Linked DNA regions of Callithrix jacchus. The protein of the gene in region 1 interacts with the protein of each later gene in a pairwise test. Links are inferred from orthologs where the notes say so. Each region holds a gene or a part of one and is shown in the gene's direction. Other genes may lie near its edges. The genes, in order: PRPF31, STX11, MIPOL1, TSGA10, PRICKLE1, PNMA1 and CDCA7L.

Region 1 (2,186 bases):
CGAAACAGTTCCCAGCTAGGTGGGCTTGGGTGTCACGTGTGGGTCTGGCCCCCAGCCCAGTCAGCAGTGAGTGGCTTGGAGCACGGCAGTCACCGCACCATCGGCACCGCGGTTTGCCATCCACAGAGCAGGGCGAGCCTGCACCGTGGCTGTGGGACAGTGGGGAGCTCATCTGCTCAGACAGCGGCTGTCGGTGCTCTCGGCTCTGGGGGTGAAGCGGTGAATGAGAGAGACAAGTCTTGCCTTCCTGGAGCCTGTGGGTGGCTGGGCACAGACAGATCAGTAAGATGCCCAGTGTGGTAAAAGGCAGAAATACCAGGGAGGGAAGGACGTGGGAGGTGGGACAGGGAGGCCTTCGTCCTAGCACAGCCAGGGAGGGCCTCACCTTTCCCTGCCTCCACTCCCATGTTATGAGGTGTTCAGTTCTGAAAAAGGAGTGCACAGAAGGCACTTGGTCCTGCACTTGCTGGTGGAGCCTGATGACAGGTCCTGTGCTTATTTTCTCTTTTCTTTCTTTTTTTTTTTTTTTTTTGAGACGGAGTCTGACTCTGTCGCCAGGCTGGAGTGCAGTGGTGCAATCTTGGCTCACTGCAACCTCCGCCTCCTGGATTCAAGCAATTCTCCTGCCTCAGCCTCCTGAGTAGCTGGGATTACAGGCGCCTGCCACCATACCCAGCTAATTTTTGTATTTTTATTAGGGACTGGGTCTCACCATGTTGGCCAGGATGATCTTGATCTCTTGACCTTGTGATCCACCCACCTTGGCCTCCCAAAGTGCTGGAATTACAGGCTTGAGCCACCGCGCCCAGCCTGTTATTATTTTCTTTAGAGACAGAGTCTCGCTCTGTTGCCCAGGCCTTGAAAATATTTAGGAAGTTCCAGCCAGGTGCCGGCGTCTATCGCTGGACACTGTGATCATCAGTAGTGTTGGTGTGATTTGTGCTGGGACCTCCAGCCAGCCACATCCCCCAGAGACTCAGTTTCCTCATCCAGAAACTGAGCAGGATTGGCTGTCCTCAGGCACTGGTGTTTTTAGCAGCCCCTGGGGAACTTGTTAAAAACCTAGGTGCCCTGGTTTCTCCCCACCCTCTCCCCCCAGACCCACTGAGGCAGAATCTTCCAAGGCAGGGCGACTCCAGGGACTGGCAAACTGTCCCATGCCCACCCAAGGCCTGAGTACCACGGGGAAAGGCCTGGGGGGCTCTGGCGTGTCAGTTGGGGCCTTCTCCTTGCCCAACACATCATCCTCTCTCCCTCACCTGCCTAGGGCCTGGAGATTGTGAACCCACAGGCCGCGGAGAAGAAGGTGGCTGAGGCCAATCAGAAGTATTTCTCCAGCATGGCAGAGTTCCTCAAGGTCAAGGGCGAGAAGAGTGGCCTCATGTCTACCTGAATGATAGCGTGTGCCCAACGTGGCTTCCCACTGAAGGGACGTTGAAGTCCAGGCCTTCTGAAGGGCTGGGATGGGGGTTAGGGGTTGTGGCAGGGAGAGCCTTCCCTGCCGCCCACCCGGTGCTCGACTGCCCAGGGAGGGGCCTCGGAAGAAGCCTGGCCCGGCCTCCTCCAGGATGGAGCTCACCGCCCTGGATGGGTTAGAGCAGGTCTTCATGCCTTGTCTTTTTTATTTTAACTGAGAAAGGAGATACTTTTTTGAAGAGAGTGCAATTAAAAAGCACATTATCAAGATCTGTCCTTGGGGAGTGATCATTTTTCAAACAGCTGGGGCAACTAGAATAGTCAGAGCTTCGGAGTTTGGGGAAAAGAGCTTCGCCTCCGGGGCGCACTCCCTCCCCTGTTCCTTTCTCACCAACCCCCTGGAGAACCTCAGTCGCTTTGATAGCAGACGGTGTGGCAGCCGACACCTGAAGATCTCAGCGCAGGCTGACCAAGGTTGCGCTGGCACCTCAGGCCGGTTGCCTCGCCTTTCCGAGCCTCCACAGCTACGCCCAGGCACCCAGGGCTGGAAAGAACGCGCAGAAAGCACTTAGCACAGGGCTCGCGTCAGCACCCAATAACTGGGTCCTGTTACTGGTGTTTTTTAGAGATGAGGCCTCTGTCGCCCAGGCTGGAGTACAGTGATGTAATCATAGCTCACTACGGCCTCAAACTCCTGGTTTCAAGCTGGGATTACAGACGCATGCCACAGTTCCTGGTTAATTTTGAAACTTTTTATAGATGGGGTCGCA
Region 2 (4,050 bases), on another chromosome or scaffold:
GATCTACATAAATTATTTGGAATTATTCTGTGTAGGAGATTTGTCTCCTCTCTGCCTTTTATTTATTTATTCAATTATTTATTTATATGAGTGTAGACTCATGGATATTTTTTACTTTGGCTTTTAATCCAATAAGACTTTGTTTAGTTTACTTCGTTGCTCAAATGGTTCCATCTTTGGCAACTGGGAGCTCTTTCAGGTAGTTCTGTGTTTAAACATTCTCCCATCAAGGCAGGATTCGTTTTTTATTTTTATTTTTCCTTCTCATTCTTTTGCCCAGGCTGAAGTGCAGTGGCAGGATCTAGGCTCACTGCATGCTTGACCTCCTGGGCTCAAGTGATCCTCCCACCTTAGCGTCGCGAGTAGCTGGGACCACAGAGGCGCGCCACCATGCTCAGCTAATTTTTGTATTTTTTGTAGAGATGGGCTTTCACCATATTGTTCAGACTGGTCTCAAACTCCTGGGCTCAAGCGATCCTCCCACCTCAGCCTCCCAAAGTGCTAGGTTATGGGCGCGAGTCACCGCGCCTGGCCCGATTTCCCTTTTTGAATCTCACTTACTTTTCAGCCTCACCTTTGTTTTTCAAGGTGCTTACCGCCACCTGGCACAATCCACACTTTGTTTATGTCTCCCCATTAAAGTGCCAGGACCTGGAGGGGGGGTCTTGGCAGTATTTTTGAGAGCGGTGGTACCCTGGGCACACAAGGGGACGCTCAGCTAATATCCAGGGAATGATGAGCCCGTAGGGTCCTGAGGCCGACTGGAGAGGGGTTGGCCGCCGGGTTCTGGGAAGGCGGTGGTCGGCCGCTGTGTGACCGCAGGCTCCTTGCCCGCCTCCTGGAAGGTCCAGGGGGTGCAGGACCTGCTGCAGCCTCGGCAGCCACACCCACGCTCAGAGACCGCTTCCACCGTCCTCGCCGCGGAAACGCACCGGACGGCAAATGTCATCAGCGCAGCGGGGATTCCCGGGGAAAGTCCACCGCGCTCCCTGCCCTAGGAACCGGAGGATGAGCAGAGGAAGTGCCTCTGGCTGCAAACCTCCCACTCCCCGCGAGGGTCCGCTCCGCCCGCGGGAACTCCCCGAGACGTACGGGAGGTGCTGGAGCGCGTCCCCGGCTCCGGGCGGTCCCGAGCGCAGGGACTCCGGGCGGGGCGGGAACCTGCGCTCCGCGAGCCGCCGCGCCCCGGCGCTGTCATCCCGGGGCGGGGCCTTGTCCCCAGCTGTGGTCGCTTCCTAAGCGGCTAGGGCAGAGCCGGCGGCGCCCAGATGCGGCCGCGGCGGGGCGGAGCTCGGGCCGCAGTGAAGGAGCCCAGCCTCTGCCGCAGGGGACGCGGGAGGCGCCGGGAGCCGAGCCGCCGGGAGTCGCGCAACAGGTTTCCTTCCCCAACGCGGCGCCCACGGGGGACGAGCGCCCGGCCGGGATAGGGGCTTCTCGGTTCGAACTCTCGCTCCGGGTACTGGTTTGTTTTTCTGTCCCTGAGCTCCCCATTTCTCTACCTATTCCCGGTGCGCGGAGAGTGCGGGGAGGTGGGCGGGCCGGGGCGGGGACACTGTCTGGGCTCCGGATCCGCGGCGGTGCCTTAGTGGGTTTTGGTGCAGGGCCTCACGCCGCCTCTGGGCACCTTCGAGAACACAGCACTGGGTTTCTCATATAAAGCGGAATGATATTTTTTGAATTACTTTTAATTTCAGAGGCCAAGGGACTGAGAATTTAGCGCTTCATAGGAATTATTTTAGGGATACCCGTTGGTAGGCTGCCTTTATAAAGCGTCCACCTAAGACTACCTTTAAGTTGAAAGGCTGAAGTGTTTCTTTGTTATCACCTCTTCATTTCCTATTAGGGTGACTGTGTCAAAAACACCAGAATGGGTACCTCTTGACTTGAACTTGGCACTGTCACCCAGAAGCCGGGAGAGACGGAGAAATTGATAGAGCCTTGGAGCAGTCCCTTCAAAGCCCACATAAGACTTTGTTTTAGAAAAATGGAGAGGAAGGGTAGTGGCAATCCTGCGAGAACCACTCTGTCCAAGAGGGAATTCTGCCTTTTTCTAGACTCCTCTGACACCAGCTGAGCTCTGTATTACTTCCTGTGGTTCTCACGCACTTGTTTCAGCCGTTTCTCAGCAAAGGGAGGAGTTGTTATTTACGGGTATCCAAAAATGAGTCACACGGCTGCTCTCTTAATTGTGAGACTTTGTTAATGAACTTTTTGAAAAGCGAGGCTTGCTCTGTCTGTATTTAAAATGAGGCTCTAGATGTGAAATGCCTGCCCTGCTAACCTGGGGCAGTGGTATGGGTAGTGATGATTTGAGTTTTCAGTTTCCTAAGGCGCCTGATGTTACAACATGCCAGTAAAGGTCACTGGGCTGATCTAAGATAACCATTAAAATCATGTGCTTTGCCACAGAAGCCCAAGGGAAAATTAATTTCAGTATCTAGTGACCATTTTGTCCTCATTTTCACTGCATGGTAGAAATGTATCATTTAATGTGGTGACTGTAACTCTCTAAAATCAAAATATTTCTAACAATTTGTATTTACTAAATTGATGCTAAAACCACACGACGATTTTTGAAGTGGGTAGGTCCCAGCAGGAGCAGAGAAATTTAAAAGTTGAAACTCACAGGTCCCATTGTAGTGGGTAGCAGCGCTTAGGCAAGGTCTGCACAGGCTCTCAACATGATAGAAAAGGGAGCACCATCTCTACTGGAGCTGAGTTGAGCTGAGTTCAGCCCCAAACAACAGTTACCAGGCACCTTCTCTGTGCCAGCCTCTTCTCTGAACCTTGCTTGTGCAACTAGGAATAAAAGGATCCTGCTGACAAGCTGCTAGGGTAAATCTACACCCAGATGGATGTTTCTGTCCCAATATAACTCAGTAAGCTGGGTCCCAGTGTATTTAAAAATTAAACAGCCAGTTACTACCCCTAGATAATTACAGTCACCTTTAGTTCATAGTGTGACTTTTAGGAAATAGTGTGACTAAATAATAGTTTATTTAAATACACTGGAAAATCCATTATATATGTGCTAGGGTACATCTATGCCCAGAGTGAAGTTTCTGTCCCAATATGACTGATGTTTCTGCAGATCTGGGATTTGGAATGGACTGGGTCATGGCTGGAAAAGCGAGGAAGCTTTTGAGTTGACTCATTTACTTGTCTTTGTAGGCAGCCTATTCTTCATTTGATACATGATTTAAAAAATATGAATTAGAAAGGTATGGTTTTTAAAGCATTTGAATGAACCATATTTCATACTATTTAATAACCATGTGAAACTAAACTCAGCTGATTATCACCCCTGGACAATTGCAGTCACCTTTAGTTAACAGCATGACTTTTAGAAAATAGTATGACTAATTAATAGGTTGTTTTGTTTTGTTTTGTTTTGAGAGAGTCTCACTCTGTTGCCCAGGCTGGAGTGTAGTGGCGCAATCTTGGCTTGCTGGAATCTCCACCTCCCGCATTCAAGCAATTCTCGTCCTTCAGCCTCCCAAGTAGCTGGGACTACCAGCTCCCACCACAACAACCGGCTAGTTTTTGTATTTTTAGTAGAGTCAAGGTTTTGTCCTGTTGGCCCAGCTGGTCTCAAACTCCTGACTGCAGGTGAGCTGCTCACCTTGACCTCCCAAAGCGCTGAGATTGCAGGTGTGAGCCACCATGCCCTGCCTAATAGTTTATAAATTGATAACACTATATTGAGGCAAGTTTCTGATCATTGTTTTTGCAGTTCAAATCAATGTTTTTAGCACGTTATAGCCATATGAGCCCAAATGCATAAACATACTGTATCACAGTTTACTGTTGCAATTGAAATCTGCTGAGAGGCTTTTAGACTTGATGCCCAAGTATCAAGGTTTCCAAGTTTCCCCAGTTTGCTAAGATACCCAACTAGTAAAGGTAACAATGCTAAATTGGAGACAAATTGGCCTTAATTTCCAAACTTTCTTCCTCCTTTGAGACCCCTAAGGTTACTTTTTCTATGAGGAAGAAAGAGTGGAGTATATTATTCAGCATTGTACTCCCTGAATTTGGCCCAGGTTTGAC
Region 3 (3,500 bases), on another chromosome or scaffold:
GCAAGCTCCAAATTTCTGATGAGCCTTTTCAATTAGAAATCTAAAAGTTTTTACTACTGAACGAAATGAGAAATATCCAGAAATAGAGTCAAGTCACACAGTATGGATTCTTAAAAAATATTAAACATTTAAAATTAAATTTTAGAATGAAAGTCTAGAGTGTGTCAGAAATTGATGCATTGTAATAAAACTTCAAGGACTTATATTTACTAAGACCCAGGAAGGATCAACAGAGTCCTCTTATTGGGAAGCTCTTATTGGGAAGCTTCCATATTTGCTCTAAGTTTGAAGAAGATAGTATGGTCACAAGTAAAATAGTGGTGATTTATCAAGAGTTCAGGAGATCACAAATTTGACATTAGGTTATAGCTGAAGGAAGAGAACTATAAAACTAGTAAACAAATAGCGAATTTAAATAGCAGAGATAAGATCAACACCAGGAGGTTAGGAATAAAAAACTGAAAGTAAAAAATATACTGAATTAATTTTAGATAATGGTAAATTTGGTCTTGAACAGGTTGAAAAGCACTGGACAAGAGTCTGAAGCAGTTGTGCGGCTGTCATGGGGACCTGGGGGCTTTTATAGTTGACAGTGATCCATGGACCATTCTTTTCCCTTTTGAAGAAACATGGTACTTCATAAACTGAAGAAGAGTGGGGGGCCTAATAGTTTTTAAGAAATATGTCCCTAGGGGCAATTTTGTTATTTGATAATGCTTTCAGTGATTATTTCTGATTGTTTTTCATTTGAGTTATTTACAATGTTATATGTTATGTGTTATATGTGTTAGAAAGCATAGTCTATTAATGATATAGAGGCTTTCCTTAATGCCCATTTATAAACTTTTCTCATTCAGATTTTGAGAGTTCCATTATGCTAATGCAGCCTATTACAGACAAGTTGCATGGTGACTATCTAATGCAAACAAAGTAAGAATTTCAAGATGTCAAATATGAACAAGTGATCTTCAGATGTATCTGTTCCTAAAACTGTCAAATTTAAGTTAATATAATGTTGAAGGTTCACAGCTCTCTTATACTGTATAATTATGATAGGACATTCTCTCTTCTAATTCATTTCTTCAGAGTGAAATAGAGAGTAATTTACCAAAAACAGATGTACTCATCTAGCTTCTAGCTAGCAATAAGAATAATGTCCAAGATCTAGAGTTCATAACTGGCTATACCTAATTTCAGCAAATATACAAGCAAATAATTTTTTCTTAAAAAGTGAATATTTTTATGAGAGGTATTTTATTTATAAGTGCCCCCTTTTGTTTAAATTCTAAAACAACTCTCAGCCTGAGCAAAATAGCAAGACCCCATCTTTACAGAACATAAAAATCAGCCAGGCAAGGTGGCATACTCCTCTAGTTCCAGGCATTCGGAAGACAAAGGCAAGAAGATTGCTTGAGCTCAGGAGGTTGAGGCTACAGTGAGCCATAATCATACCACCACATTCCAGCCTGGCCAACAGAGCAAGACCCCATCTTAAAAAAAAATAGGGTAAAATAAAATAAAACTACTCGTATGTGCCTCCAACGATTGTAAGTTTAGCAGATTTAAAAAGGCACCACCAAAAATCAGGTGAGATTCATCTGCCTTTTAAAGTTCAAGAAATATTTCTGCCCTAAATAAGGAAGTACTAGTTACAATCAGTACTGGGGCCTGTTGAATTGATTTACTAGTGAATGAGTTTGCTTTGTGTTCGTATTTGTGTGTCATTTTCTCCCCAAAACTTTACTTTGTCATTACATGTACATTGTCCCTTTGAAATAGCCATTATTTACTAGCAGTAGCTTAAGATAATTTTTGTGAGATAGGCATTGCAAAGTATCTTCTCTGATGTATAATACATCCTAGAGATGAAGGTTAGAAATCATTCTCCCTTGTATTGTGTCTATTTTAATATTATGACGATGATTACAAAAATAATAACTAACATGTATTGATGTGTCAGGCACTAGGCCAAGTATTTTGAGTATGTTAACTCAGTCCTTAACAACAAATATTATATACCCATTTTACAGAAAAGAAACTGAGAGTAACTTGCCCAAAGTGATTCACTTGGCAAAGCTGGAATTCTAACCCAGGCAGTCTAATACCAGAGTTCCACATATATTAACTCTTCACTATAATAATTATTTTATACTATTTTCAGAAATCTAGAAAAGTTCACCTAGAAAATAATATCCCCAAATCAGTGATTCTCAGCCTTGAGCGTATGCTGGAATCATTTGGGGATCTTCAGAAATTTAAACTAGGTCTCACTCCCAGAGATTTTTTAAGCTCTGAGGATTTAAAAGAAATCTCCTTAGGTTATTCCAAAATGCAGAGTTATCTATTGACTGTGGAAATGGAAGTCTCAATGGTAAAAACCACACTGTATATGCTTATGTGATTACAGTAGAAATAAGACTAGAAATTATATCTTTAAAGCTATGAGAGTATTTCCAAAAATATTTATTTGATTGATTTAATATCAATAAATAGTTACAGTGTTTGATATATCATGTGTTATTTTGTTTGTTTGTTTAAATACAGATATAACCCACAGTTATCTTGAACAAGAAACTAAAAGGATAAATAAAAGTACACAGCCAGATGAGCAACTGACTGTGAGTTCTGAGGAAAATATGCATCAGAAATCCACTGAATTAGTTAATGAAATAAGTTATGAGAACACAAAATGGTCAGAGCAGAGATCAAGGAATTTTCAGATCATCAGTTCTTACCCAGATGATGAGTCTGTTTACTGTACTACTGAAAAATCCAAGTAAGTGCTCACAGCCTTAGATTTAGAAAGTAGGAATGGGGGCTGGGCGTGGTGGCTCTTGCCTGTAATGACAGCAGTTTGGGAGGCCAAGGCGGGCGGGTCACTTGAGGTCAGGAGTTTGAGACCAGCCTGGCCAACATGGTGAAACCCTGTCTCTACTGAAAATACAAGTATCAGCCAGGTGTGGTGGCACATGCCTGGAATCCCAGCTACTCAGGAGGCTGAGTCATGAGAATCACTTGAACCTAGGAGGCGGAGGTTGCAGTTAGCTGAGATTATGCCACTGCACTCCAGCCTGGGTGACAGAGCAAGATTGTCTCAAGAAAAAAAAAAAGAGAGAGAGAGAGTGGAAAGTAGAAGAACTTTTTCTTCCTTTCTCCTTTCTTCCCTTTTTTCTTCTTTCCTTCTTTCATTCTTTTTGGAGTTGACTAATTCTAAACTCATTAGAATTTGGGGGATCTACCAGGGTTTTCTACTGTTTCTGTGATATGGATATAATATGTCTAGTTAACTAAGTGAAAAAGCACAACGTGCATCTAACGAAAGGCAGTGAGATTTAATTCTATCTTGTTCAATATTATTTTCTGTGATGTTTTATTATATATTTGAAAATAACTGTTAAATTGATATACATGAAATATCATTCATGAAAGTAAAAAGCTGGCAGCTCTAGGATAAGGTAAGCCCAAACATGCATTTTGGTTTGGGTTAGCACTGTTTTTCG
Region 4 (3,960 bases), on another chromosome or scaffold:
TGAAATACACAGCGTTCTACCATATCAAGGTCATCAGAGAATTGCTGTAAAAACCCAGTATCTACGTCATCTGTAGGAAAAGGTGATAAAGTCACCATTATCATCCAAAAACTCTTGGGTTATTTAAGAAGGGATATGGTAGATATTAAGAAGACTTTTTCCATGCTGGGCTCCAAAAAAATGGTAGAATGCAGCCCTCATTCTTTTTCACCAAAAAGCTCATTTGTCCACTTTAAGGTAAGGGAATTTGGAAAAGGACTGGCATGTGGAAAAGGAATATCGGTCAGGAATCTGGACTTTCTTTGCTAGTTCTGCCACTTTCTGATTCAGCCCAGATCGAGCAGAGCTGACTGAGACGGTGGTCCCCAGGCTCCCCTAATTGCAGTCTGCCCGTGCTCACCCGGACAGGTTGGCTTGCTACCAGCAGGCTGCAGCGGGAGGACTGGACCTGGAAGGCTCCCTCAAAATGGGCCCTGGCTGCAACTCTGGGAGTAACCGGTTCACTGAACGTGAGTCCAGAATGACGTCCAAGCCCTGAGAAAAGTGGCACAAAGCCACCGCCGCGAAGGTGTTCCAAGCTGCAGGTAGGAGGCGCGGCGACAGACAGCCTTGCGCATGCGCGTTTTATACACGTGCGGCCGCCACGAGCAGGAAATAAAAAATGAATCTTGGAAAAGGGGGCTCGCGGCTGGTTACTAGGAGACGGAACGCTCGGGTCGGGCGTCTAGGCGCTGCGTGGGCGTGCGCCTGCGCGGCGCGAACAGGCCAAGAAGAAGCCCCTCCAAGGCGCCTTGTAAGGCAGGCAGGTGGAAGTACGCGTCGCTCTGTGCGTAGGTGCGCGCACACGGCTTGTAGCCAGCGCGAGAGGGAAGGTCGAGCCAGGTACGCGTGCGCACGGAGCCTAGGGGCGCGTGGGACGGAAGCAAAGCTGGGGCGCCGGGGAGGTAGAAGACGAGCCCCACTCGGTACAGATCGTGAGGGCGGGGCCACGGCGGCGCCGGATGGCGCTAACCGCCCCCGCCTCCTTCGCGCAGGCTCCCTCTTTCCTCCGACTCCGCTGGGGCGGGGCCAGGACGATTTGGGGGTGGGAAGGGAGGAAAAAGGGGCGGAGGATGGAGATGGGGCGGTTCTCGTATCCCCGGCGGAGGCCGAGAGGTGGCAGTCGCGGGGATGAGCTCTGGGGAGGACATCGGGCCAAGGAGCTCGGGGAGGGACCCGGAGCTCCAGGTAGAAGCTGCGGAGATACGCAGGGTGGGGAGAGCTGCTCCTGCTCCGGAAGGTCTCCGAAAAGCCAGCTGCAAGCGGGCGGGAGTGGCGGGTGGTGGGCCGTGGCGGGAGGAGGTGGGCAGGAGCCGGGGGAGCCGCTGTGAGGGGCGGCAGCGGGCACTGCTGCGGGCCGGAAGCTCAGCAGCACGCGTTGTCCCTGTTTCTTGGGAAGTTAGGCTGAAGCCCAGTTCCTATGGTCACCGCTTTGCGTCCTGCCGCAGCTTTCCGCTTGATTGTTGGGGGTACTGTTTTATTTAGAAACGCTCTGGTGGAGCGAGGAATTTGGAAGTCATAGATTTGGGAGTCAAACCTGACTCCCAATCGCTCACTTCTGAGCCTATTTCTAGACTTGGGGTGGTAAAAGACCGAGATTACGTAGGCATTTGCATGGAAATCTCAGATAAATTTCAGCAAGAGTTGTACACAGTAAAGGCAGGGAAAGCTGGCTTTTGTTGAAAACATATTTGAGACTTAAATTGAATAACTAGATGATCATGGACTTGATACCTAAAAACTCACAGAAATAAGTACATTTTTTCACATTTTTTTCCCGAGGCTTCAGGAAAGTTTGCATAGATGACAGTGTCCCAGCGTTTTCCTTCTTCCATTCCAGTCCCTTTTATCCTAGGAAATTTCCTTGTTTAAAATGTTCTCTACTGGTTTTCAGCATTTCAAATATGCTTTGTTTACGTGTGAGGACATAAATAGAATAACAATCGGTTTGTAAGTAGGAAAAAAACAGGTTAGCTATAAATATGTAAGTAGAATGCCTCTTTCGAATCTGCCTCCAGGATAAAACAAATTCTTGTTTGTATTTTAATTGATTAATTAGCCAAACTCTTCAGTCTTAATTAGTGATAACTAGGAAGGTATATTAATGAAATATTAATTTTAAATAATAAACTTCGGCATTATTTAATGGCAGCTTCCAAAATATTTCACGCATTGTTTACCTTCTGAAGAAAAATCACTGCTTGTAGCCCAGAATATAATCAGGTGTAGAGATTCACTGGGGGCTCTTTTCTGTCTTCTTTTTCAGTTGCTTAGACTAGTTTGTTTAGGACAATTTGGTTTTGAAGTCCTCCGTACACCGAGGCAGTTAGAGGTATTACTGTATATCACCTTTTCAGATTACATGTTCCTTTCTCTCCCCAGAGATAGCCACTTCCTTGATTTTCCTTAATGTTTCACATCATTGTATGTGAACATGCACATTATAGTTTGGCTTGTTTTTGAACTTCCTCTAAATAGAATTTGTACTAAGTATTCATTTACATCTTGCTTCTTTACTCAACATTTTGTTAAGGTTAATCTTTATTGCTGCTTGCAGTATTTAGTTTGCTGATTGTTTCCCAAAATATCTCACTCTGTTGCCCAGGCTGGAGTGCAGTGGTGCGATTATGATTCACTGCAACCTTGATCTCCTGGGCTCAAGTTATTCTCCTACCTCAGCCTCCCAAGTAGCTGGGACCACAGGCGGGTGCCACCAGGCCTGGCTAATTTCATTTTCATTTTTTGTGGAGACAGGGACTCACTATGTTGTCCAGGCTGGTCTCAAATTCCTGGGCTCAAGTGATTCTCTGGCCTTGGCCTCCCAAGGTGCTGAGATTATTGAGATTACGAGTGTCTAAATCTTCATGTATCCTTGCTTTTTCTTGTCTCAGGGCAATACATCTTTAATTCTGAAAGAGGATCCTTATGTAAAGAGATTTAAGGAGCAAGTTTTTCTCCTTTTGTAATGACCTTTCCGTAACCTTGGTCGTCTTCCACCTTTTGCTATACCTGTCTTCCTCTCACAATCATGCTTCCTAAAAGAAGTTTACATTTATTAATAAATTAGTCCTCTTCAGACTTGTTTTCACCCATCATTGAAACTGCTTTGTTTGAATCATTAAAATTTATTTTGGAAATGTTTTACTGAGTTTCAACTTTGTGCTGGGCACTTTTAAAGCAATAGGGATATAACAAAAGACAAAAAGCCTAGGGCTCTTGAATTTTATATGCCAGTAGGGGGAGCCAGACAGTAAACAAGTGAGCAAATAAATGATATCATTTCAAGAAGTGATAAGTGCAAATAGCTTATCACTTATTTGAGAGAGTGACTGGGATAGAGGCTACTTTAGGTAAGAAGTCAGGGAAGACCTGACATTTCAGCCAAAGAGTTGAAGATAGCCATGTGAAGGGCTGGGTAAAAAGGGTTCCTGAGAGAGGGAAAGCAAGAGCAGGGGACTTGAAGTCGAATGCTATTGGCACATATCTTAGTCCATTCAGGGTGCTATAGTGAAATATATAAGCAACATTAATTTAATTCTTATAGTTCTGAAGACTAGGAATTCTAAAGTAAGTTGCCAGTAGAATCAGTGTCTGGTGAGGGCCTGTGTTTTTGTTCATAGATGATACTTTCAGACTGTGTCCTCATACATTAGAAGGGGTGAGGAAGCTTTCTGGGTACTATAATATACGGGCAACTCATCATGACCTAATCACCTTCTAAAGACTATGCCTCTGTTTTTTTTTTTTGGGGGGGGGCGGGGATGGAGTTTCACTCTGTCTCCCAGGCTGGAGTGCAGTGGCGTGATCTCGGCTCGCTGCAACCTTTGCCTCCTGGGCTCAAGCTGTTCTCCTGTCTCAGCCTTCCAAGTAGCTGGGATTATAGGCCCACCACCGTGCCCAGCTAATTTTTGTATTTTTAGT
Region 5 (3,500 bases), on another chromosome or scaffold:
AACTCATCAGTACATAACCTTGCGTCACGTGTGTTTTTCCTTAAAGCTACCTCCTTATTGAATACACATTGTTGATGCATTAAGACTGAACTCATAGCCAGTAGTAGTGTACTCAAGATTAGGAGCTTATCTAATTAGATGTCTTTCCTCCATAAGGCACATCACAGCCTTCTTGTACTTTGGAATACGACGGCATTTCAGCATTATACTTGGGGGTCATTTTAAGCAGGAAACTCACCAACAAAAAGCACAAAAATGCAGAAAACACGGCAGTAAATAGACCAGGAATAGGATACTTGTCTACAATATGAGAGCCGAAACAAAAGGCAGAGCATCTCTTGGATTGATGCGTGTTGGTTCAATTCATGTTTTTACCACTCTGCACATCTGCAAATGACCATGAAAGTGTTGCAAATATCAGTTTTGGGGTTATGAATAAATTTTAATAAGTAGGCAAATTCACAAATACAGAATCCACAAAGAATTCGGATTAATTTTATGTGTCACCCACACCCCTCTCAAGATACAGACATTTCCATTACCCTTGAGAGCTCCCCCATGCCCATAATCTTTATTTTTTTTCATTTCCTCCTTATTTCTTGTTTCAGGCAATAAACTATAACCTGTTACTTATTCTATCCTTTTCAAAACAGGTGTGGACCACGCACAGATGACCTATGACGGGCAGCACTGGCATGCCACGGAAGCATGCTTTTCCTGTGCCCAGTGTAAAGCTTCTTTGTTGGGATGTCCCTTCCTTCCCAAACAGGGTCAGATTTACTGTTCAAAAACATGCAGTCTCGGTGAAGACGTCCATGCCTCTGATTCTTCCGACTCTGCATTTCAGTCAGCTCGATCAAGAGATTCCCGAAGAAGTGTCCGAATGGGCAAGAGCAGTCGGTCAGCAGATCAGTGTAGACAGTCTCTTCTCTTATCCCCTGCTCTGAACTACAAGTTTCCTGGCCTCTCAGGCAATGCTGATGACACCCTTTCTCGAAAATTGGATGATCTGAGTCTCTCCAGGCAAGGAACAAGTTTTGCCAGTGAAGAATTTTGGAAAGGCAGAGTAGAACATGAAACTCCAGAAGACCCTGAAGAATGGGCTGACCATGAAGATTATATGACACAGCTCCTCCTCAAGTTTGGTGATAAAAGCCTCTTTCAGCCACAGCCCAATGAGATGGATATTCGAGCCAATGAGCATTGGATATCTGATAACGTGGTTAAAAATAAGACTGAGTTAAAGCAAAATAACCAGAGCCTTGCAAGTAAAAAATACCAGTCTGATATGTACTGGGCACAATCACAAGATGGACTGGGTGATTCTGCTTATGGCAGCCACCCGGGCCCTGCAAGCAGTAGAAGGCTCCAGGAACTGGATCTGGACCATGGGGCTTCAGGGTATAATCACAATGAAACACAGTGGTATGAAGATTCCCTGGAGTGTCTGTCAGACCTGAAACCAGAGCAAAGTGTTCGGGATTCGATGGATTCTTTGGCATTGTCCAATATCACAGGTATGTAATCTGGGGATTATGGAGTATTTGAAAAAAGGAGCTGCTACAAAGTGTGTTCAAAAAATTGCAATTCCAGCTGGATATGGTGGCTCACACCTGTAGTCTCAGCACTTTGGGAGGCTGAGGTGGGCAGATCACCTGGGGTCAGGAGTTTGAGACCAGCCTAGCCGACATGGTGAAACCCTATCTCTACTAAAAATACAAAAATTAGCTGGGCGTGGTGGCGGGTGCCTGTAATCCCAGCTACTCGGGAAGCTGAGGCAGGAGAATCATTTGAACCCAGGTGCAGAGATTGTAGTGAGCAGAGATTGCTCCACTGCAGTCCAGCCTGGGTGACGAGTGAGATTCCATCTCAAAAAAAAAAAAATTGCAATTCAGCATGAGTAGGAATTGTATGTTATTGAAAACCATGGATCAAGGGAAGGAAGGAATTTCACTTAAATACCAAACACTAGCAAAACAAACGTGTACAGGTGAGTGCATATGCATAAAATATATTTACAGTACGGTCTTTAGGGACAGGTTTTATTATCCCTGTTTTGAAGAGAAGGAAATTGATTGGATGAAGGCGTCTACAACTGGATTGTGTCTGAAAGATATTGTATACTTGGATTATGCTGTATGGATTTCAAGATACCAAAATTGGCCGTAACACTTTACAAGCTCATATTTTAACATCTTCCTGTATTGTCCTGTGACAGCAGCTCAAAATAGCTGAATACTTTTTATTTAGATTATAAAATAATTACTTTTTTTTTTTCGAGACAGAGTTTCACTCTTGTCGCCCAGGCAGGAGTGCAGTGGTGTGATCTCAGCTCACTGTAACCTCGGCCTCCCAGGTTCTGGGTTCAAGTGATTCTCCTGCCTCAGCCTTATGAGTAGCTGGGATTACAGGCGCCTGCCACCATACCCAGCTAATTTTCGTGAGACAGGCTGGTCTCTAACTACTCACCTCAGGTGATCCACCTGCCTCAGCCTCCCAAAGTGCTAGGATTACAGGTGTGAGCCACTGCCCCTGGCCTACTTTAATGTTTTCAAAATACAGTCATATCAATCATCCACATTTTATCTTTAAAATGACCCTGAGCTGTATAGAGTGGATGATACAACTGCATTTTACAAATGAGGAAACTTGAATTACCAAAAGGCTAAATGCCCAACCTTACATAGGTTCTAAAGGCAAGATTGGACCTAGAACCCAGGAGATTATGAAACTTATTCCCAGCAAGTCTTTGGATTATAGAAATGTTTCTGTTGCATGGCTGGTTTTATAGTCAAACTACTGATGTCCAGCCCTTTCATGAAGGTAATTTTTCTTTAATGTAGACAGGAAAGGCTTAGTAGCTGCCTCCTGCCAGGAGTGACTTGTGCAGACACTGCAGTGACAAGGAGGGGTAAGATAAAGCTGCTACCTGCCCCCGCCCCTGGCTTCTGCGGACTTGTCAAAGATAAGGACTACAATAAAGGGGAGTTGAGGAAGAATGATGGGTGAGACTCTCTGCCAGGCCTAGTGCCAAGAGTTTTAAATTTAATATTAGAAATAGACATAATTTGGCCAGGTGCAGTGGCTCACACCTGCAGTCCCAGCACTTTGGGAAGCCAAAGTGGGTGGATCACCTAAGGTCAGGAGTTTGAGACCAGCCTGGCCAACATGGTAAAACCCAGTCTCTACTAAAAATACAAAAAATAGCTAGGCATGGTGGCACCTGCCTATAATTTCAGCTACTCTGGAGGCTGAGGCAGGAGAATCACTTGAACCTGGGAGGCAGGGGTCGCAGTGACCCAAGATCACACCATTGCATTTCAGCCTAGGCGACGGAGCAAGACTCTGTCTCAAATAAGAAAAGAAACATAATTTGGCCCTGACATTCCTTGACAATAATGAGCTGAAAAATAGGCTCCCCTTAAAAAGTAGGAAGTTATATAGTCTCCAGTTGACAAACATTCACACCACTCCCTTTGTCATTTACAGTCTGTTAGGCT
Region 6 (3,955 bases), on another chromosome or scaffold:
TTCCTCATTTGTCTCTAAGTTGAAGGCCTTGTTGGAAGGGACAGCACAGGAACAGCCTTGACAGTCTGTAATTATTGTACAAATATTTTAATAGCATATAAATAAGTATATTCCTTTTATTTTGAAACAAATGATCAGACACTGCCTTTTTTGTGTTTGCTGCCTGTGGCACCCTTTTTTAAAAAGACTGTTACATATTAAAATAGTGTACATATATATATAAATATTACCTCTTTTGCTGTACAGTTGTGATAGAGACTGAAGATTTTATTTTTTGTGTGCTTTTTATAAGAAAAAAATTAATACACTAAAGAATCTTGCTGATGTGATTGTAATGTACCTATGTAACTTATTTACTTTTGAATGTTCTTCTGTATCTTTAAACCTTTTATTAAATAAGGTTTTAAAAATTCAGAGTTGCATGCTGTGTTCTCTGGGATTTTCACCATCTGGGATTGATGTAAGTGGGTCTTGTCTTGCTTGCACAAAGATTACTCAACATTTTCGAACCATACGGATTCTCTTTTAGCAGCCTATTGTCAATGATGCCAGCCAGGAAAAGGGAAATAACATATTAATGTTTACCTGGCTAAAAGATGACTGAGTAGACATAGACAAACATCTTTTTTACAAAATTTTAGACAAGAAAAAGGCAACTCCGTATCTTACAAAAATATACGTAAATGGCACACGCCGACATTTTGGCTGCGTTGGGATGAAATATGCAGGGTGCAGAGTGTGGTTGGGGGAACAGGGAAGCTACGGTTCTGAGGATATTCTCACGTGCAGGGTGGACTGGCTGAGCAATCTGAGATGAGTCCACCATGAGGGATGCATTTCCAACAATATCATCTTAAGTCCACTCCAGGATTGGGTTATTTTTAAAATACGGTGCTTAGCAGTCTTTGTTCTCTGTTTAAAAAAAAAAAAAGAAGAAGAAAATTACGCCATCAGAGAAACAGGTGCCCGGGGCACCATGGTAACCGCTGGACTCCGCCCCACCCCCACTCCCCCGCCCGCGGTGGGCCGCCAGAGCAGACGAGTCTCGTGCAGGCTGAGAAGCCGTTGCCATGGCGACACCCGAGCGGCTCCGCCGCGGGGGCGTGACGGAGTGGGGCAGACGCCGCTCACGGGCTGGCCCCACCCTTCACTGCTGCAGTAACATCGCCGCAGGTTGCGGGTAGGACACTACGTCTGGGTAGCAGCGCAGTGCAGATCGTTGCGGCCGCCGCTGCTCATCCTCTCTTCTGCTGTCTCCAGCCCAGCTTCGCCAGCTCTCCTGCTCCTCTGTTGCCTTCGTTTCTGGTCCTCGGCGGTCCTCGCCACCCTCCCGGAAGAGTCCCTGCTCCTGCCAAGAAGCCGCTCTCAGCTGGCCCGCAGCCGCCGCGACTTCGGCACAGTCTGCCTGTGCCGGGTCTCCCAAACGACCTCTCCTCGCCCTCGGAAGACCGGGCTGCGACCGCGAACGCCAGATCCTCTCTGGGAGCCGCCGCGAGCGCCCGACGACCACACCTCGGCGGTTCTCGGCCCATCGCGCCTGCCTTCGCCGCCCGCCTTCGCTCCTTGCCCGCTCCACGACGACGCGACGCCTCGGCTGCTGGCAGCGGACCCGGACCCGGACCCGGACCCAGACGCAAGATGGCGACGGCTGCGTGACTGCCTCAGCGTTTCCGAGCTCGTCTCCAAGTGCGTCCACTGACTGACTGTGGGGGCAGGGAAGGGCGAGGTCAGGACTCTGTGTCTTTGTTAATCGTGACTGCGTGAAACTCGCCTCCCTTGGGCCTACTTGGGGGGAGTGTCTGGCGTTGTTCTAAGGCCAGGAGCAAGGTGAGCCACTGTCTGTTGGTAGAATTAGCGTCTTGATAGTTGACAAAATGGCGATGATACTGTTGGAAGACTGGTGCAGGGGAATGGATGTGAACTCCCAGAGAGCTCTGTTGGTCTGGGGCATCCCAGTGAACTGTGATGAGGCTGAAATCGAAGAGACCCTCCAGGCTGCGATGCCCCAGGTGCCCTACCGAGTGCTTGGGAGAATGTTCTGGAGGGAAGAAAATGCGAAAGCAGCCTTATTAGAGCTCACTGGCGCTGTCGATTACGCCACGATCCCCAGGGAGTTGCCGGGCAAAGGAGGAGTCTGGAAAGTGTTCTTTAAGCCCCCGACTTCCGATGCTGAATTTTTAGAAAGATTGCACCTCTTCCTAGCTAGAGAGGGCTGGACCGTGCAGGATGTTGCCCGTGTCCTTGGGTTTCAGAACCCTACTCCGACCCCGGTCCCAGAGATGCCAGCAGAGATGCTAAACTATATTTTGGATAATGTTATTCAACCTCTTGTTGAGTCCATATGGTACAAGAAGCTGACACTTTTCTCGGGGAGGGACATCCCAGGGCCTGGAGAGGAAACCTTTGATCCTTGGCTGGAGCACACTAATGAGGTCCTAGAGGAGTGGCAGGTGCCAGATGCAGAAAAGAGGCGGCGGTTGATGGAGAGTCTTAGAGGCCCCGCCGCTGATGTCATTCGCATCCTCAAGACCAACAACCCCGCGATAACTACTGCCGAATGCCTGCAGGCGCTTGAGCAGGTGTTTGGGAGCGTTGAGAGCTCTAGGGATGCCCAGGTCAAATTTCTGAACACTTACCAGAACCCGGGAGAAAAGTTGTCTGCTTATGTCATTCGTTTGGAGCCTCTGCTACAGAAGGTGGTGGAGAAGGGGGCCATTGATAAAGATAATGTGAACCAGGCTCGTCTAGAGCAGGTCATTGCCGGGGCCAACCAAAGCGGGGCCATCCGAAGGCAGCTGTGGCTTAACGGGGCTGGGGAAGGGCCGGCCCCAAACCTCTTTGAGTTGCTGGTGCAGATCCGTGAGGAGGAAGCCAAGGAAGAGGAGGAGGAGGCTGAGGCCACCCTTCTGCAGTTAGGCCTGGAAGGGCACTTCTGAGTCCCAGGAAAGGCAGCTTTAGTGCAGACCCAGATCACAGCTACTGTCCTTGTCCCTGTGGGGTCTTACAGATGTGTCTGAGTAGTAAAGGCTTAGTCCTGTTACATTTGTTTTTGGAGGGCAGGATTTGTCAGGCCTGAGTATTCATGTAACATTCTAAAATTGTGCACGCAAGCACTGTGAGCTGCTAGCGGATCTTGCTGGCTACAATGCCGTTTACCTGGTTGGACACAGAGCTTAGTGCACGCGGTCATCATGGCCATCATAATCAGTTGTGAAAAACGTGTGAACCTGTGACACTTCTATTCCACGTTGAATGTGAAATTGCATGTTCAGATGTTTACTGCGGGGCCTGGCTCACAGGAAGTGTTCAGTAAAAGTGTGAACTGTTAGATTACTGATATTGTGGATAGTTTTCTGTCTACCATAACTTGTTCCAGATTTTATTAATGGAAGGGAATGTGCATTTATTATGACTCAACCTTACAATGTAAACGTACTATTTCTCATCTTTAAACATGTGGATCAGTTTAATTGAAAAGTATTCTGATACTGCAAAATGGGATGTTAAAAACTGCAGTTACGGAGCTGTGTAACCCATTTTTCACTGCATAAGATACAGATGTAAATTGCATGGAGAGGTTGATGTGCACCTGTTAGAGTAATTCACTTCCCCAATTTCAAATCTTTGTCAGAAAATAGTTCTTGTTCATACTAATTCTGAGTGTTCTAAATTTGAAGTTACATACAGAAATAAAAATGTTTTTCGATTTCTGTTGTCTTCTCCTTTTGCTGGCATGTACAAACATCTTTAGCCTAAGTAAACTCTGTCCATTTTTCTTATGAAGACTGTCATTAACTCAAACCATATGTTTTACTTACCACAGACACTCAGCATGTCTTCACCCACTACCCATCATTCACAGAGCTTTCCCCTCCATTCCCACCAGCATCAGGTGCACACTCACCCACCTCCTACGCTCTACACATTCACTGCCATCTCCCACTCAGTACTCCCA
Region 7 (4,080 bases), on another chromosome or scaffold:
AGAAGGAAGGAAATCTTTCCCAAGTTTTCTCTTCAAGCTTGAGTAAATGTCTGGCAAATTTCATTCACTCCTTCAATATAGAAAAGATGAACATCAGATCCCAAGCAGCTGAGGGGGGCTGCAGAAGGTCCTATGCATACAGGAGGCTCTACTGTAAACCCATGACCACAGTTCTAAATAGGTGTTTAACACTGTCCAGCAAACTGTGATTTCAGCACCACTTCATTGACCATTCTCCCCACTCTCTACTTCAAGTCTCCTACAATCTCTACCCACTTAATTCCTCACTCTTCATACCTGAGCTCTAAGAACTATTCCCTGACCTCTGCCAGATTGTCTCCATGGAACAGTCGCCTTCTTCTCATAGCATCATCACTCCAAAGTTACATTTCTTTGCATCACGATTACATTATGGTATCAAATTAATTATACATCTAATTTATAAAATGTACATCATCATTATTACTATACTTATTTGCATCATTATTTTATTTATTTAGAATAATGCAATTAGGTTGGTAACGGGCTCTCAGGCTGTAAACTCCAACAGAGCAGGGGCCTGTTTTTGTTCTCCCTTGTGTTCCTTGTCCTAACCCAGTGTCTGATGCTCAGTAGGTGCCCGGGTCAATTTTGCTTAAGTAGTCAGGATTCCTGACCTCTACAAACTCTCTGCCTAGTAGGGGTGGAGGCCTACTGTGTGTAATGGCCATCTAAAGTTTCAGGAGAGTTTGCAGCTCTCCACCTGGGCTTTGGTAAAGAAACCTGGGTTGCTTGTTTTGCAAAAGGAACCCTGTAGTAAATGTTTTAGGAGACAGAATCCTCCCAAAGAGAACCCTGCCCCTTTACAACAACAAAACAAAATAAGCCCCAAAGCCGCCACAAAATATTTTCCTGGATCAGAGACAGGTGTTGCTCAGAATCCTGCGCCCCAGGGCAGGACCTGGAATAAACCCTTCCAAGTATCGAGCGCGCGTGCCAGCTGGAGGCTGCGCCGGGACAGCCCCCTCTCATTTCTCCCGCGCGAAACACCGCCGGACGGCTCCACTCCCTCCCTCCGCTGCAGGGGGGAGCCCGGCGCCCTAACACTGGCAACTGGTCTTGCCGCTCACAACTGCAGCCCCTCTCGTGCCGCCTGCGAAAAGAAGTTCAGTGGCTGCGAAGTTGAAACAGTGATAAGAGCCACGAGGCTCAGCGACGCGGCGCCGAGCGGGCAGCGCGACGCGCTCCCCCTGTCCCAGGCGCGGAGTGCGCCCCTCCCGGGTCCCGCCCGAGCTCCGGGCGGAGCGTGCTGGCTGCTCGGCCCCGGGGAGTTCTCGGTGCGTCTGGCCCGTGGCGAGGCCCGGCTCCCGTGGCCGAGTGCTTGGAGGAGACTGGAGCCTCTTTAGGAAGAATGGAGTTGGCTACTCGCTACCAGGTGAGGGTTCGGCGCCCGCAGTTATGTGGACGCACCCACAGCTTGACTTTCCTTTGCGACCGGGTCTTACTGGCTTTGGACTGGAAACGTGGCCCTTGGCTGCGGCGCTGACGATTCCGCGCGCCCAGCCGTGTGAGTGCCGGAGTGGGCGCGCCCTGCAGGTGTGCGCGGTGGGTCACGTTTGTGCCACGCGGACCAGAGAGGCCGGGTGCCCCCGCACACAGCCGCGCTCAGCGTAGCGCTATGTTCCGTATCGGGTGGCTGCCGGGGGTGCAGGCGGGGAGTTAGCGGGGCGCAGCGCCTGCGTTTGCAGCCCTCGTGTGACGGGGGAGGGGATTTTTTGTCCGCTCCCCACACTTTCTCGTGGAATTGGCAAAGATATCAGGAAGCTTAAGAAAGTTGTATTTTTTTTTTTCTGATAGTCTATCGCCAGACCAGTCCAACTTGGATAATGGAGTTTAAAAAGAATAACTTTAGTGTTCTAGAACGTCTCTAGACGTTTTTAAGGAATCGTGTGGGGGAAATAGCAACATTGTTCAAGTCAGACAAGCTGCAAGATCCCAAATCTTAGGCACAGCAGGATCCCAATTACGCGTTAAGGGCCTAACTAGCCTTTAAAACTCATTAGCAAACACTTGAGTAAGTTCTCCCAAAGGTTTCACTGAGTGGTGGGAATGTGAACGTGACTTCAGCTTTCTCTTTTTACTTCTTCAAAGCGCTTTTCTCTACCTTATCGTAATGGAGATATATTTTTTCCTTAGAGGTAAGCAATAAAAACATTTTTCAAAATAACTAAAAGTAAAATCTTTAAAAAGAGAAGCAGCCACGCCTCTGCTTGTGGGGGCGCAGAGATGCTTTGTGCGAGAATAGTTTTATTTTTTTCTTTTTCCACTTGTTTTTGTGAGAGCCGCGAGATTCACTACTTTCACCTTGCCGTCTACTCGTGTTTACTTTCCTCCACCTGCGTGCCTAGCCGGGGAGAAGAGGAGGCGGGGCCCCTAGCGTTGGAAGGCGCAGAGTGCCAGGTGTCCGACGCTGTCACCTGCCCGAGTCTGGCGGCAAAGACCGAGGCCCTAATGGTAGTTTTGGCCTTTAAGTAATTTCTGAAGCCGTCTTGAAATGGTTGTTTGAGAAAAATCTTGTTGATGCTTCTGAGAAAGAGTATTTGTAAAGTGCTTCCTGTGAGAGAAACTGTTAAAAGCAAGGGAAACAAACAGTAAAACCTAGGGAATGAGACGGGGTTCGATTTTTTTTTATTTTTTGCCACTGGCTTTTATTGTGTATTGGCATCCTAATCTTTTGTTTGTTTGTTTTTTGTTTTTTTGAGATGGAATTTCCCTCTTGTTTCCCAGGCTGGAGTGGGAGTGCAGTGGTGTGATCTCGGCTCACTGCAACCTTTGCCTCCCTGGTTCAAGCGATTCTCCTGCCTCAGCCTCCTGAGCAACTGGAATTATAGGCGCCCACACCGTGCCCGGCTAATTTTGCTTTTTTTTCCTTTTTTTAGTAGACACGGGTTTCACCATATTGGCCAGGCTGGTCTTGAACTCATAACCTCAGGTGATCCACTTGCCTTGGCTTCTCAAAGTGCTGGGATTACAGGCCTGAGCCACTGCACCCAGCGGCATCCTAATCTTCTAGGAGTTTCTGCTGCTGCAGGACAGAAAACAACAACAACAAGACCCTCCAGATGGAGATTTGTGCTCCCTGTGAATTTCATCACAAAACGTATCTGGAATGTGTCACTCCTGAAACCTGTTGTTAGGCTGGAGAGTTCTTTTCACTTCTACCACTGATATTCATAATTCATGCTTAGGAAACTCAGAAGTCCCAGAATGTTACATAATGAGGCTAATTTTTGGTAGTTGTAAAATGTTAAACTATTTTTCATGTGGGGATTACCCACAAATTATATCCGATCCATTTATGCACCAATTAAGGCAAATTACTATATGTAAGATGATGAGGGTTTTTTTTTTTCCTTTTCTAAAGACCTAATTGGCAGCTGAAATCAAGATGTGTGATGATTTTTTCCAGTGGAAATGTTCCTGTTCATCGTAATTTAAATGTGAACAGATTATACTCTCTAAATTAGTGGAGAGTGGTTCTATGGGGTGAGCAGGTGACTGCAGATAAGAGTACTTAATGAATGTTTCAGGCACAGCAAGATGTTAAATTCATGTGGTTCCACCCTGTCCTCCAGCCTTATGAATAAAGCAGTGTGATGAACTGCCTGAAGTGGCATTACTGCACGCTGAATGTTCAGCTCAGTGTGCAGTGGGTTTTAATCTCACACATTGGAGTAAGTATAATTTTTATCCCTTGGAAAGCACAAAGCTAGACGGTGTTTCAGCAAAGCAGCTTGGGCCTAATGTTATGAGTAATAAGCAAACAAGGAGACACGCATTTACTCTGAACTACCTTTGAGTCTACTTTTCTGCCGTTCCACCTGTGTGTTGGTTTTGATGTTCTGTGACAGTGATTACGCTTCCCACAGTCTGGAGTCTTGTCTAACTGACCACTGTGTCTTTGTGCTTTTATATAGGATGACAGAAATACCTCGTAAAGACAAGGGTGTGATCCCTTACTAAGAGCTGTCAACAGTGCAGCTTGCTGGAGCCCCAGCTTGCTGCAGCTCCCTCGGAGAGAAACTGGTAGGCACTGAATGT

Evidence for each region.
Region 2: the proteins of PRPF31 (region 1) and STX11 interact in binary tests that used the Homo sapiens proteins (3 or more experiments, as listed by UniProt). The two-hybrid records come from large-scale screens. The link is inferred for Callithrix jacchus from reciprocal best matches to the Homo sapiens genes PRPF31 and STX11.
Region 3: the proteins of PRPF31 (region 1) and MIPOL1 interact in binary tests that used the Homo sapiens proteins (3 or more experiments, as listed by UniProt). The two-hybrid records come from large-scale screens. The link is inferred for Callithrix jacchus from reciprocal best matches to the Homo sapiens genes PRPF31 and MIPOL1.
Region 4: the proteins of PRPF31 (region 1) and TSGA10 interact in binary tests that used the Homo sapiens proteins (3 or more experiments, as listed by UniProt). The two-hybrid records come from large-scale screens. The link is inferred for Callithrix jacchus from reciprocal best matches to the Homo sapiens genes PRPF31 and TSGA10.
Region 5: the proteins of PRPF31 (region 1) and PRICKLE1 interact in binary tests that used the Homo sapiens proteins (3 or more experiments, as listed by UniProt). The two-hybrid records come from large-scale screens. The link is inferred for Callithrix jacchus from reciprocal best matches to the Homo sapiens genes PRPF31 and PRICKLE1.
Region 6: the proteins of PRPF31 (region 1) and PNMA1 interact in binary tests that used the Homo sapiens proteins (3 or more experiments, as listed by UniProt). The two-hybrid records come from large-scale screens. The link is inferred for Callithrix jacchus from reciprocal best matches to the Homo sapiens genes PRPF31 and PNMA1.
Region 7: the proteins of PRPF31 (region 1) and CDCA7L interact in binary tests that used the Homo sapiens proteins (3 or more experiments, as listed by UniProt). The two-hybrid records come from large-scale screens. The link is inferred for Callithrix jacchus from reciprocal best matches to the Homo sapiens genes PRPF31 and CDCA7L.

What each region holds. Positions count from the first base shown.
Region 1 is NC_133523.1:47,313,922-47,316,107, forward strand, and holds the end of PRPF31 (U4/U6 small nuclear ribonucleoprotein Prp31), read left to right. Parts: intron 1-1,267; coding exon 1,268-1,393; 3' UTR 1,394-1,686; downstream 1,687-2,186. UniProt on the Homo sapiens protein: Involved in pre-mRNA splicing as component of the spliceosome. Required for the assembly of the U4/U5/U6 tri-snRNP complex, one of the building blocks of the spliceosome.
Region 2 is NC_133505.1:150,902,368-150,906,417, forward strand, and holds the start of STX11 (syntaxin-11), read left to right. Parts: upstream 1-1,250; 5' UTR 1,251-1,456; intron 1,457-4,050. UniProt on the Homo sapiens protein: SNARE that acts to regulate protein transport between late endosomes and the trans-Golgi network.
Region 3 is NC_133509.1:71,918,496-71,921,995, forward strand, and holds part of MIPOL1 (mirror-image polydactyly gene 1 protein), read left to right. Parts: intron 1-857; exon of another isoform or gene 858-930; intron 931-2,544; coding exon 2,545-2,776; intron 2,777-3,500.
Region 4 is NC_133515.1:8,703,315-8,707,274, reverse strand, and holds the start of TSGA10 (testis-specific gene 10 protein), read left to right. Parts: upstream 1-1,160; 5' UTR 1,161-1,170; coding exon 1,171-1,227; exon of another isoform or gene 1,228-1,279; intron 1,280-3,960. UniProt on the Homo sapiens protein: Plays a role in spermatogenesis. When overexpressed, prevents nuclear localization of HIF1A.
Region 5 is NC_133510.1:33,196,178-33,199,677, forward strand, and holds part of PRICKLE1 (prickle-like protein 1), read left to right. Parts: intron 1-653; coding exon 654-1,517; intron 1,518-3,500. UniProt on the Homo sapiens protein: Involved in the planar cell polarity pathway that controls convergent extension during gastrulation and neural tube closure.
Region 6 is NC_133509.1:108,629,448-108,633,402, reverse strand, and holds PNMA1 (paraneoplastic antigen Ma1), read left to right. Parts: upstream 1-1,155; 5' UTR 1,156-1,874; coding exon 1,875-2,936; 3' UTR 2,937-3,706; downstream 3,707-3,955.
Region 7 is NC_133512.1:36,210,665-36,214,744, forward strand, and holds the start of CDCA7L (cell division cycle-associated 7-like protein), read left to right. Parts: upstream 1-1,280; 5' UTR 1,281-1,390; coding exon 1,391-1,414; intron 1,415-4,080. UniProt on the Homo sapiens protein: Plays a role in transcriptional regulation as a repressor that inhibits monoamine oxidase A (MAOA) activity and gene expression by binding to the promoter.